2 linked regions of the Arabidopsis thaliana genome follow. The protein of the gene in region 1 interacts with the protein of each later gene in a pairwise test. Each region holds a gene or a part of one and is shown in the gene's direction. Other genes may lie near its edges.

Region 1 (4,876 bases):
ACCTCCCTCCTACATAAACCGCCGGTAACTTCACCGTACCTCCGCCGCCTTGAACTCCAATATTCTCCAACTCACTCAAAACTTCATCTTCCCTCTCCTCATCAATCTCAAGGACCGCCGGATTCACTCCAAGTCCAAGAAGCAGCCTCCTCACCACATGACACATGCAACATCCTCTCCGTCCAATCACAATCACCGCGTTCTCCTCCACCACCATCCGAACTCTCTCGCCGTTTCCCTGCGTTTTAAGCGATAGCGGCCGCAGAGATTCCCCGACGGTTGTCGTCATGTTATAATTTCTTGCACAAGAAATCGTTCCTTGCATTTTCAAGTATGTTTTTAAAGATAGATACCAATTAGGAAAGGAAGGTTTTGTTATATATACATGAAGAAAGAGAGATCAGAGAGGAAAGTCTAGCGTCAACGATGGTTACGTAAGGATGTGCGTCACAGGAAGCTATGGGTGATGGTGCTGTTTACGTCACTGGATTGGAGTGGACTTAGTCATAGGACCGTGTCGTTATATCGTATCACATGTTTCACGCTGACTTTTTGGATCCCACTTTATTCTTTTAATAAATCTGCACGTTTTAATTTTGGTTCCTCTCTACTTTACATAATATTTTACTGCTTTTTTCATATCAATAAAAAATAGGAGAATTCTCAGAATTTATTACTATTATATTTGGGTTGTTTCGAAACTTTCGATAGATGGTTGTATACTTAGAAATATTCGCATGTGACGACCACATAGTGGATGCTTGCTTCTTTCGATCTCGACCATCAAAACGGAATCACCAGACTATATACAACAATTTTGGTAATCTAATACTAAAATTGTAGAAAACACAATTTTGTTTTGGGATTGCTAAATAAATACACTAGAGATGCTAGAGAGACCTAGCCTAAACTTTCGATATTTTCCGTTTTATCATTCAAGTAATTAATATAACATTTAGGTGTAAAGGTTAATAATATATATGACATTATATTCTTAGTGATCAAAAATCTAAACATAAACTTTTAGGAAAAAGACATATACTACTTTCCAAATTAATGTAACACGATCATGTCATATAGTAATGACCATGTTTGGATGAAAGTGGTAATTATGAGACGTGATTAAGTACTCTTGTTGAATCCTTCTTTTAAACCAATACTAAGAATAAGTTTGACATTATTGTCATATTATTTGTACTCGGACTTTCCGAGTAGTAGTGGAGCCTTATTAACTAATAATAATAATACGCATGACAGGAAAAAACTGAGAAGGTCATTTAGAAAGAACCATCGTCGAAGGATGGACGGTGGAAAAGTCGGTAGACGTCAGCACCAAGCCACCAACTAATTTGGTTTGTTTTAATGGAATCATGACGTCTTTCTTCTTTAAAACTCATGTCACCCATTTCTTCCTAAATTTGGACTATTATATGATTATGGGAATTGCATTTCTTTATTAAAGTCACGTGTCATCCTTTAACTTTATAAGTTCTTCAGGTTCCAAACTCCAAAGCCTTTCCAATTTTATCGTTCCACCAAATCCTGAAATGAAAGTTCAACATCCATCATGGTCCCAAAACGTTAAAAATATTTTAAAAAATAGAGTGTGGGGGATTTAAAAATTCATGACCGCTAGTAAAATATACAAATTTTCAACAAAACAAATTGCATGACCGCTTTGTTGGAGATATTATATTTACAGTTGCCTAACGTGAGAAGTTTGCATAACAAAACTAATCACAAACTCACAATATATACCATTCTTCTGTGCACCGGAAATCTATAACACTTAAAATCTTAAATGTGTAAACCCTAAAATTTTACCATACAATTTTTGAATTGAGAAAACAATTATTTGTTTTTGGTTTCTAGGATTAGTAAACAATCATTTATAGTAGCATCGGATTTTTCATGGACTATGAATCTTCTCAATAGACAGACTTAGGTCACGCTTTAACCAACAAAAACTCAGCAAGAGTGGTTTCTTTCTTCTATAACAAATGCCAAATATGCGTTTCAATATAACCATTTTCTATAACAGTTAATAATCAAAATTTTGTAACGTAGAAAATGGTCTTTATTAATACTGTCGTAGATTTGTAATAACTTATTGGGCTCTGTGGTCTCTTATTGGGCTTTATAAGATTCTCCAGTAGCCCAAAAATAAACTTTCAGCGAATCTCAAAGCCAACCGCAGGTGATGCGTTTTGCTATGTAAGAGAGACGAATCTCACGCCGGAATCTCTTTTACTTCACCGTCGTTTGTTCTCCGTCGCGTCACCTTTCGATTAATTCCTTCACAGGTAAGGAAGCTTCTTCAATTTTCCTCTTACATCAATTCTCCTTTCGCATTGATCCTTGTCGTTATCGTCTCTAAACGCAAGCTTTTTCTCCAATGTTTGTGTCGATCTTAAAGCACATAGATTGATAAAGCCGTTCCGGTTCTATTGAATAAAATTCTAACCCTAGATTAGCCAGGATTTAATCGGAATTTCTCTGGATCTAATAGTTTTGTCGAGTTTGATCATTGTGACTTAGGAACTCTAATTTTGCAATCGTAGAATTTGCGCATCTCCAGAACAATCCCTGCCAATGAGATGAAATTTCAAAATTCTGTTTCTGTAACTAACTTTGCATAAGAACTTGTTTCTATAGCTTAATCAGCTGTGTTATTTGGTGTATAGGGTAGCAAAATTTTGTTGATTTCGGGATGTCTTCAGCTCAAGATCCATTCTACATTGTTAAAGAAGAGATTCAGGATTCTGTAAGTTGTTCAGAAATTGCCAGAGATGTTTTTTTGTTTAGATTTTGAAGTACAGTGATTGATGGATGATGCTTTGTTAGATTGATAAGTTGCAATCTACATTCCACAAATGGGAGCGTATCTCTCCCGACATGGGTGATCAAGCACATGTGGCGAAGGAGCTTGTTGCTACTTGTGGAAGCATTGAGTGGCAGGTACTCGTATTTAGTCACGGTTCTATTAATCTCGTCTTTATATATAATTTAGCTGGTGTGGAATAGGATTTGTGTTTGTAAATGGATCTTGTAGGAATGTATTGGCCCTTATTTACATGATTAGAAATTCCAATTGAATATATTCGAGTCCTTTCATGGCTATTGAAGCTGTTTTTACTGATAGGAAGGTAGATGAGCTGGAAAAAGCGATTACTGTTGCAGCAAAAGATCCTTCATGGTATGGCATTGATGAAGCTGAGCTTGAAAAACGGAGGAGATGGACTAGTAATGCTAGGACACAGGTATGTTCTCTAAGTTTGTTATGAATACTGCTTTACATAGTGGCATAAATTTGTTGTTAGTTGACTTGTGCAAGACGATTACGATTTTTTTTATAGGTGCGGAATGTGAAGTCTGGTGTTTTAGCTGGAAAGGTTAGTTCTGGAGCAGGTCATGCAAGTGAAGTGCGTAGAGAACTAATGAGAATGCCAAACTCGGGTGAAGCAAGTAGATATGATCAGTATGGAGGGAGAGACGATGATGGTTTTGTACAGTCAGAATCAGATAGGCAAATGCTGTTGATAAAGTAAAGCTCTCTCTGTGTGTTCTACATTGTTTTGCAGTCTTTTCTTTGCTTCTGAGTTTATAACGATTTTAGACTGAAGATTGTAGCATAGTGTTGTTCAAAAACAGAGTAGTGCCATAACTTAACATCATTTTTTTCACTTCAGGCAACAAGACGAAGAATTGGATGAGCTTAGTAAAAGTGTACAGAGAATTGGAGGAGTGGGGCTCACTATACACGACGAACTCGTTGCACAGGTTAGTAATATGGGAAGATGATTTAACAGTAGGACGTATCAGTAGAGATCAGAAACATCAAGTTTTTGTTATTGTGTGTGTTCAGGAGAGAATAATAGATGAATTGGATACGGAGATGGACAGCACAAAGAACCGTCTTGAATTTGTTCAGGTAAACCCCTTAAAGGTCTTGTTGCTGGTTTGATTGCAGAAAGTAAAAACTGAAAGAATGAAAATGGTATTGTGACAGAAAAAAGTGGGAATGGTAATGAAGAAAGCTGGAGCAAAAGGTCAAATGATGATGATATGTTTCTTGCTCGTCTTGTTCATCATCCTATTCGTTCTTGTCTTCTTGACCTAAAGAACAGAGCCGCGGGATCTTATAGATGGGAGTTTAATGTCTTACATTATCATGTTTGTGGTGAAACAAATGGAATATTTACATAAGGTTGTCTGTTTTTTCTTCTCCTATCCAATCCCACATATAATTTTGAACTTTGGCTGTGTGATCTCTAGAGAACCTGAAATTAAATACTTTCATAGCTTGATCCCATGGCTAAGTTCCTTAAACAATACAAATCAGTCTCATCAAAAGTAAGCCGTCAAAAACTTCCCTATAGAATACACCTTTATTATGCCTTCTTTAAGTTTCCGCAATGTCTCCTTTGCTTCTTCAGTTCTGTAACGAAAAAAAAATTCCGAAAGCAGACTCCATAAGAAACATCTAAAGACAACAAAATGACTCCAAAAATAAAGAACCGGCAAAAATCTAACAATTTGTGGCAACAAACCCGGCTACTGCTCAAAAGACCACCCTTAATAGTTCATAATTGAAGGCAAATGCTTCAACTGATCGATCATCAACGAATCCAAAGGACTCACTCACTATAAGCATGATCTCCGGAAGAATCATTGCCGGATATAATTAGTTGAATAACTGATTTATTGTTGAATCTTTCTGATACTATCGTTAAACTCTTATGACAACGCTTTTTTTTTTTTTTTGTGTGCAAAATGACAACGCTTTAGATTGTAAAATGAATAATGAGTCATTGTATCATTAATAAGAAGAGATTTGGGCTGATAAGGCCCAACGTAAGCCCATAAAAGAATCCGT
Region 2 (4,628 bases), on another chromosome or scaffold:
GTTGAAATTGTTGAAGTTCGCTAACCATAATGTACAAAAATCCTTCATGTTCCGGGAAAATAAATCATAATTAACGATAGGTATAGTAGCAGCAAAGATAAGATGGTGATCCATTCTCACATGCAATGATTCGGATGAAGTTTAGCCAAATATTATTATTATCCAACCTCTTCTGCACCACGAAGAGACTTTATTTACGTAATATATTTGATGGTCCAGTACTACTATCCAGACATTATTGTTTTCGTTTCCAAATCATAAAACTTGAAATCTTATTGATTACTACTAGGGTCGATATCTCACTATTTGGAAACCGCAGGCTCCCTATTTATTAGTTTCAAACTCAATTGAAATGAAAATGTGTATTGGTGGTTTTAATGTTTGCACTGCGTAATGTTGCCTGAACTGTATATTTAATAAATTTACCACAACTTAGCAGATATAATTTTGTTATACGAAATCGTATAGTCTTCTTCATGGACAAAGAGGAAGGCAATCATCATTTTCTATGATTGCTCATCGACCTGGCATTTCCATTACCAAAGGCAGCATAATATCAAATCAAATATTTCTTTGTCGTACTTTACTTGAATTAATGATATTATCGTGGGTCGACTTAGGAAGTAAAGTTACTTCCATTTCATATATCTAAATCACATTTGCGTAAAATTTAAGTATTACACAAAGTGATAAAGTAAATTAAGTAATAATTGGCTAGGGATATTAACAAAATAAATAATTTTGATTAGGGCTACGAGGATAAGGACAAACGTCGTATTAACGTATAAAAAATGTGAAAGGAAAAGAGTAAACTAAGCTTTAGATATTAACACTCATTACGGGATTCCTAAATTGCCAGCACTTCGGATTATCCGTCAGTCCACTATTTATGCTAGTTTTTCTTTTCCTTGTGAGCTTGCACTATGGATTTTTCTTTATGCAATTCTCAATCTAAATGACCATTAAACTTTAGAAAAAAATGACCATTAAGTTTTAATGTACATTTGTATCAACTTTCTAATATGCCACGTCCGTATTGCTATATACAAACATAACCATTCAAATTAATATGGCTCTCTCAAAGGAAAAAAATAAAAGGAATAGCAAATGAGTAGATAAATTTTTTGATCAAAAAGAATAAGATGCACTAGTATTAGTATATACTCCCATACATCATTTAACCAAATTTTAAAATTGATTATAATCCATAAATAGTCTTCAAATTTCAACGACAAACACATTAATGTGAGTATAAATTAGCATAGACTACTATATAGTTTATATGCGGGGTGAATGTTTGTCTATACAAGTTTCGTCAAAAAAACGGCACCAACCATAATTAATAGACTCTTATCTTTTGCTGGTATATGAACTCTTTTTAAAAATTGCCGCGAATATACCTTCTTCGTAGATTATTAATCTTTTTCATGTACAGTTGCCTTTAGCAGATTATCATATGTTACAAACATTTGACCTAATTTGAAAAAATGTTACCAAAAAAGATTTGGAAAAAAAGACAAAGATATTGAGATAACCGTTGAAGAGAGTTTGGGATGACAGGCTGACGAGAAAACCATACACCTCATTTCTATCATTAACCCTCACATGGCTTATCTGTACATCTGGACCCCACCACCTTCTACTTTTATCTCCCATTTTTTTTTTCAAATTATTACTACCCAAAAAAATATTCAACAAACCTACAAAAACACATGTCTTATTTTTATTTATTTAAACATTTGTGTATTTATCCCATTGTTCCATATTTATTAGTAGGAAAAATATTCACATTTTACAGAACTGCAAAAGATTTGGCCATGCAAATTATACCCCACTTTGATTGCTATTTTATACACTATATCATACAGTACAAGAACAAAAATTTGATTGGGCCAGTAATAATGCATATAACTATTGATGTTAGCAAGAGAAAAAAATGCATTAAAACACAAATTTGACTATTATTTTGCAGGAACATTCGTGATAATTTTGACTATTATTTTGTCAGTAATAATGCATATTAATCGTATGTGATTTTAACTAAAACTGGAAAGTTCCAAGGAACATTTAGTAGTTTATATTTTTAGTACTAAGTTAGTTTAGAGGGTTATTAACTATTTAATCGTACTAATAATGATTATAAGCAGAATTATGTAGACTATACAAATAGTACGTAATACCGAAAGTACCCTTGGTTTATCCCTGGCATTACAAGGGTTTCCTTTTTCCCCTTTAAAATGGCAGAAGAGATACACTGTCGTCGTCACACAGCACCACAAACTCCATAGCTAGCTAGAGAGTAAAAAGAACAAAGATGTCGAAAGAAGTGAGCGAAGAAGGCAAAACCCACCATGGAAAAGACTACGTGGATCCTCCACCAGCTCCTCTTCTCGACATGGGTGAGCTCAAATCCTGGTCTTTCTACAGAGCTCTCATCGCTGAGTTCATCGCTACACTCCTCTTCCTCTACGTCACCGTCGCTACTGTCATCGGCCACAAGAAGCAAACCGGTCCTTGTGACGGCGTTGGTTTACTTGGTATCGCTTGGGCTTTCGGTGGTATGATCTTCGTCCTCGTCTACTGCACCGCCGGTATCTCTGGTAAGTTTGAATCCCACCAAAAACCCTAACTTTTACTTGTTTGGTTCGTTGGTTTTATTGTTAATCTCGTTCTTGTTCTCGTCTTCTCGTAGGTGGTCACATTAACCCAGCTGTGACTTTCGGTCTGTTCTTGGCCCGTAAGGTCTCTTTGGTGCGAGCTCTTGGTTACATGATAGCTCAGTGTCTTGGAGCCATTTGTGGTGTGGGTTTCGTGAAAGCTTTCATGAAAACTCCTTACAACACTCTTGGTGGAGGAGCTAACACCGTAGCTGACGGTTACAGCAAAGGAACTGCTCTCGGAGCTGAGATTATTGGAACTTTCGTCCTTGTTTACACCGTTTTCTCTGCAACTGACCCTAAGAGAAGCGCTCGTGACTCTCACATCCCCGTAAGTCTCAAAAAGCTTGAATCTTTAATTGAGTTTTTTGACAAAGTTACTATGAATCTGATTGGGTCTTTGTAGATTATGATAAAGGTTGAATCTTTTTAGGATTTAATGATAAAGTTAGTATGAATATAAAATGGGTCTTTGTAGATTCTGATGAAGTTTGAATCTTTTTATGGTGTAATGACAAAGTATGTATGAATCTCTAAGGATCTTTACTTTGTAGATTCTGATAAAGTGTGGTGGGTTTTCTTGTGATTAGGTTTTGGCTCCACTTCCAATTGGATTTGCTGTGTTCATGGTGCATTTGGCTACTATCCCCATTACTGGAACTGGTATCAACCCAGCTAGAAGCTTTGGTGCTGCTGTTATCTACAACAACGAGAAGGCGTGGGATGACCAAGTAAGTGTTTAGTTATTATCTGGATTAGGTATTCACTAATCATTCATGACTTCATGTCCTAATGTTGGTTCTGTGTTGGTTTTGGTTTTGCAGTGGATCTTTTGGGTTGGTCCGTTCTTGGGAGCACTAGCTGCAGCAGCTTACCACCAATACATATTGAGAGCTTCAGCAATTAAGGCCTTGGGCTCGTTCCGAAGCAACGCAACCAATTAATGAAGGCTTTTTTTAAGATAATGTCAAGAAACAACTTTAAGATTTATATGCTTTAATTATTATTTGTTGTTCTTTTGTGTGTAATGAGAGAGATGGTGGATTGATGTTAATTATGAAATGGCTCAGTGACTTCTATTTCCTTCTTTAGTTTTTGATTGTCTTTGTTAATCGTTTGCCTTTGGTTTCTCTTAGTAGTTACAAATTCATGTTTTCTCTTCATGTCAGTTCGTAAATATCGAACAATCCAAGTTGGAATTTATTATTCACAACATCACAAGATCCTTCAATGTACATTATTACAGCTAGCGTCCAATTAAGATACAAATTTCGGCTGAACATGGTGTGTGGGTCTTTTGGTTATTATCCTCGTGTCGACTCTAAACCATCGGGTCATATGTAAACCATTCATTAATTGACACGTGTTGAGAAGGAAATATTGGATTCCATTTGCTATGTGGTTACATTTTCGTTAGTTGACAAGAAAACAACTATTTTCGCTCCATTTGCTTTAGTCTTTTTTTTCGATGTTACTTGTTAGAATTAGTATTGTTTTTAAAAGAAAAAGAACTCGTGCGAGTACCTTTTGTTGTTTTTGTGAAAGGATAAAAAGGAGTGGAGCCAATAGAGTTGTAACAACCAGACAAGAAACGAGACATTAAACCCATTTTTTCCACCGCACTCTAACTTTTCTTAGGCCGCGTGTCGCGTAGCTCATGTGTTTATCACATGGGTAACTTTTCTGCGTCTAGTTACCGTATTGTTATTGTTATTGTTATATAGTAGACTCCTTTTGGCTAAGAGTCTTTAGACCCACCCAAACGCATATGTGTTTGGATGTATTAGGAAATTATTTGTATAAAAGACTTTACCAACTTAATTGAATAATGCATTTGATTAAAGAGAGAAAAAAAAAAGAAAATGCTCATGGAAGCAATAAGCACTAAATTTGTCTATGGGATGTAAATTGCGACAGTGAGAGTTGGCTTTAAAATAGTATGAATACAAATACGAATTTGTCTACATGGAA

What was found.
Region 2: the proteins of SYP61 (region 1) and PIP3 interact in a two-hybrid assay, tested with the Arabidopsis thaliana proteins (one study listed by BioGRID).

The regions. Positions count from the first base shown.
Region 1 is NC_003070.9:10,013,723-10,018,598, forward strand, and holds SYP61 (syntaxin of plants 61), read left to right. Parts: upstream 1-2,133; 5' UTR 2,134-2,303; intron 2,304-2,684; 5' UTR 2,685-2,710; coding exon 2,711-2,764; intron 2,765-2,844; coding exon 2,845-2,958; intron 2,959-3,028; exon of another isoform or gene 3,029-3,113; coding exon of another isoform or gene 3,114-3,146; coding exon 3,147-3,260; intron 3,261-3,356; coding exon 3,357-3,544; intron 3,545-3,689; coding exon 3,690-3,780; intron 3,781-3,865; coding exon 3,866-3,931; intron 3,932-4,009; coding exon 4,010-4,120; 3' UTR 4,121-4,325; downstream 4,326-4,876. Other genes in the region: GRX480 (Thioredoxin superfamily protein), read right to left, coding at 1-325. UniProt on the Arabidopsis thaliana protein: Vesicle trafficking protein that functions in the secretory pathway; the fusion of phospholipid vesicles containing SYP61 and VTI12 is triggered by YKT61 and YKT62. Together with VTI12, required for membrane fusion.
Region 2 is NC_003075.7:16,706,358-16,710,985, forward strand, and holds PIP3 (plasma membrane intrinsic protein 3), read left to right. Parts: upstream 1-2,003; 5' UTR 2,004-2,314; coding exon 2,315-2,600; intron 2,601-2,692; coding exon 2,693-2,988; intron 2,989-3,247; coding exon 3,248-3,388; intron 3,389-3,481; coding exon 3,482-3,601; 3' UTR 3,602-4,050; downstream 4,051-4,628. UniProt on the Arabidopsis thaliana protein: Water channel required to facilitate the transport of water across cell membrane. May be involved in the osmoregulation in plants under high osmotic stress such as under a high salt condition.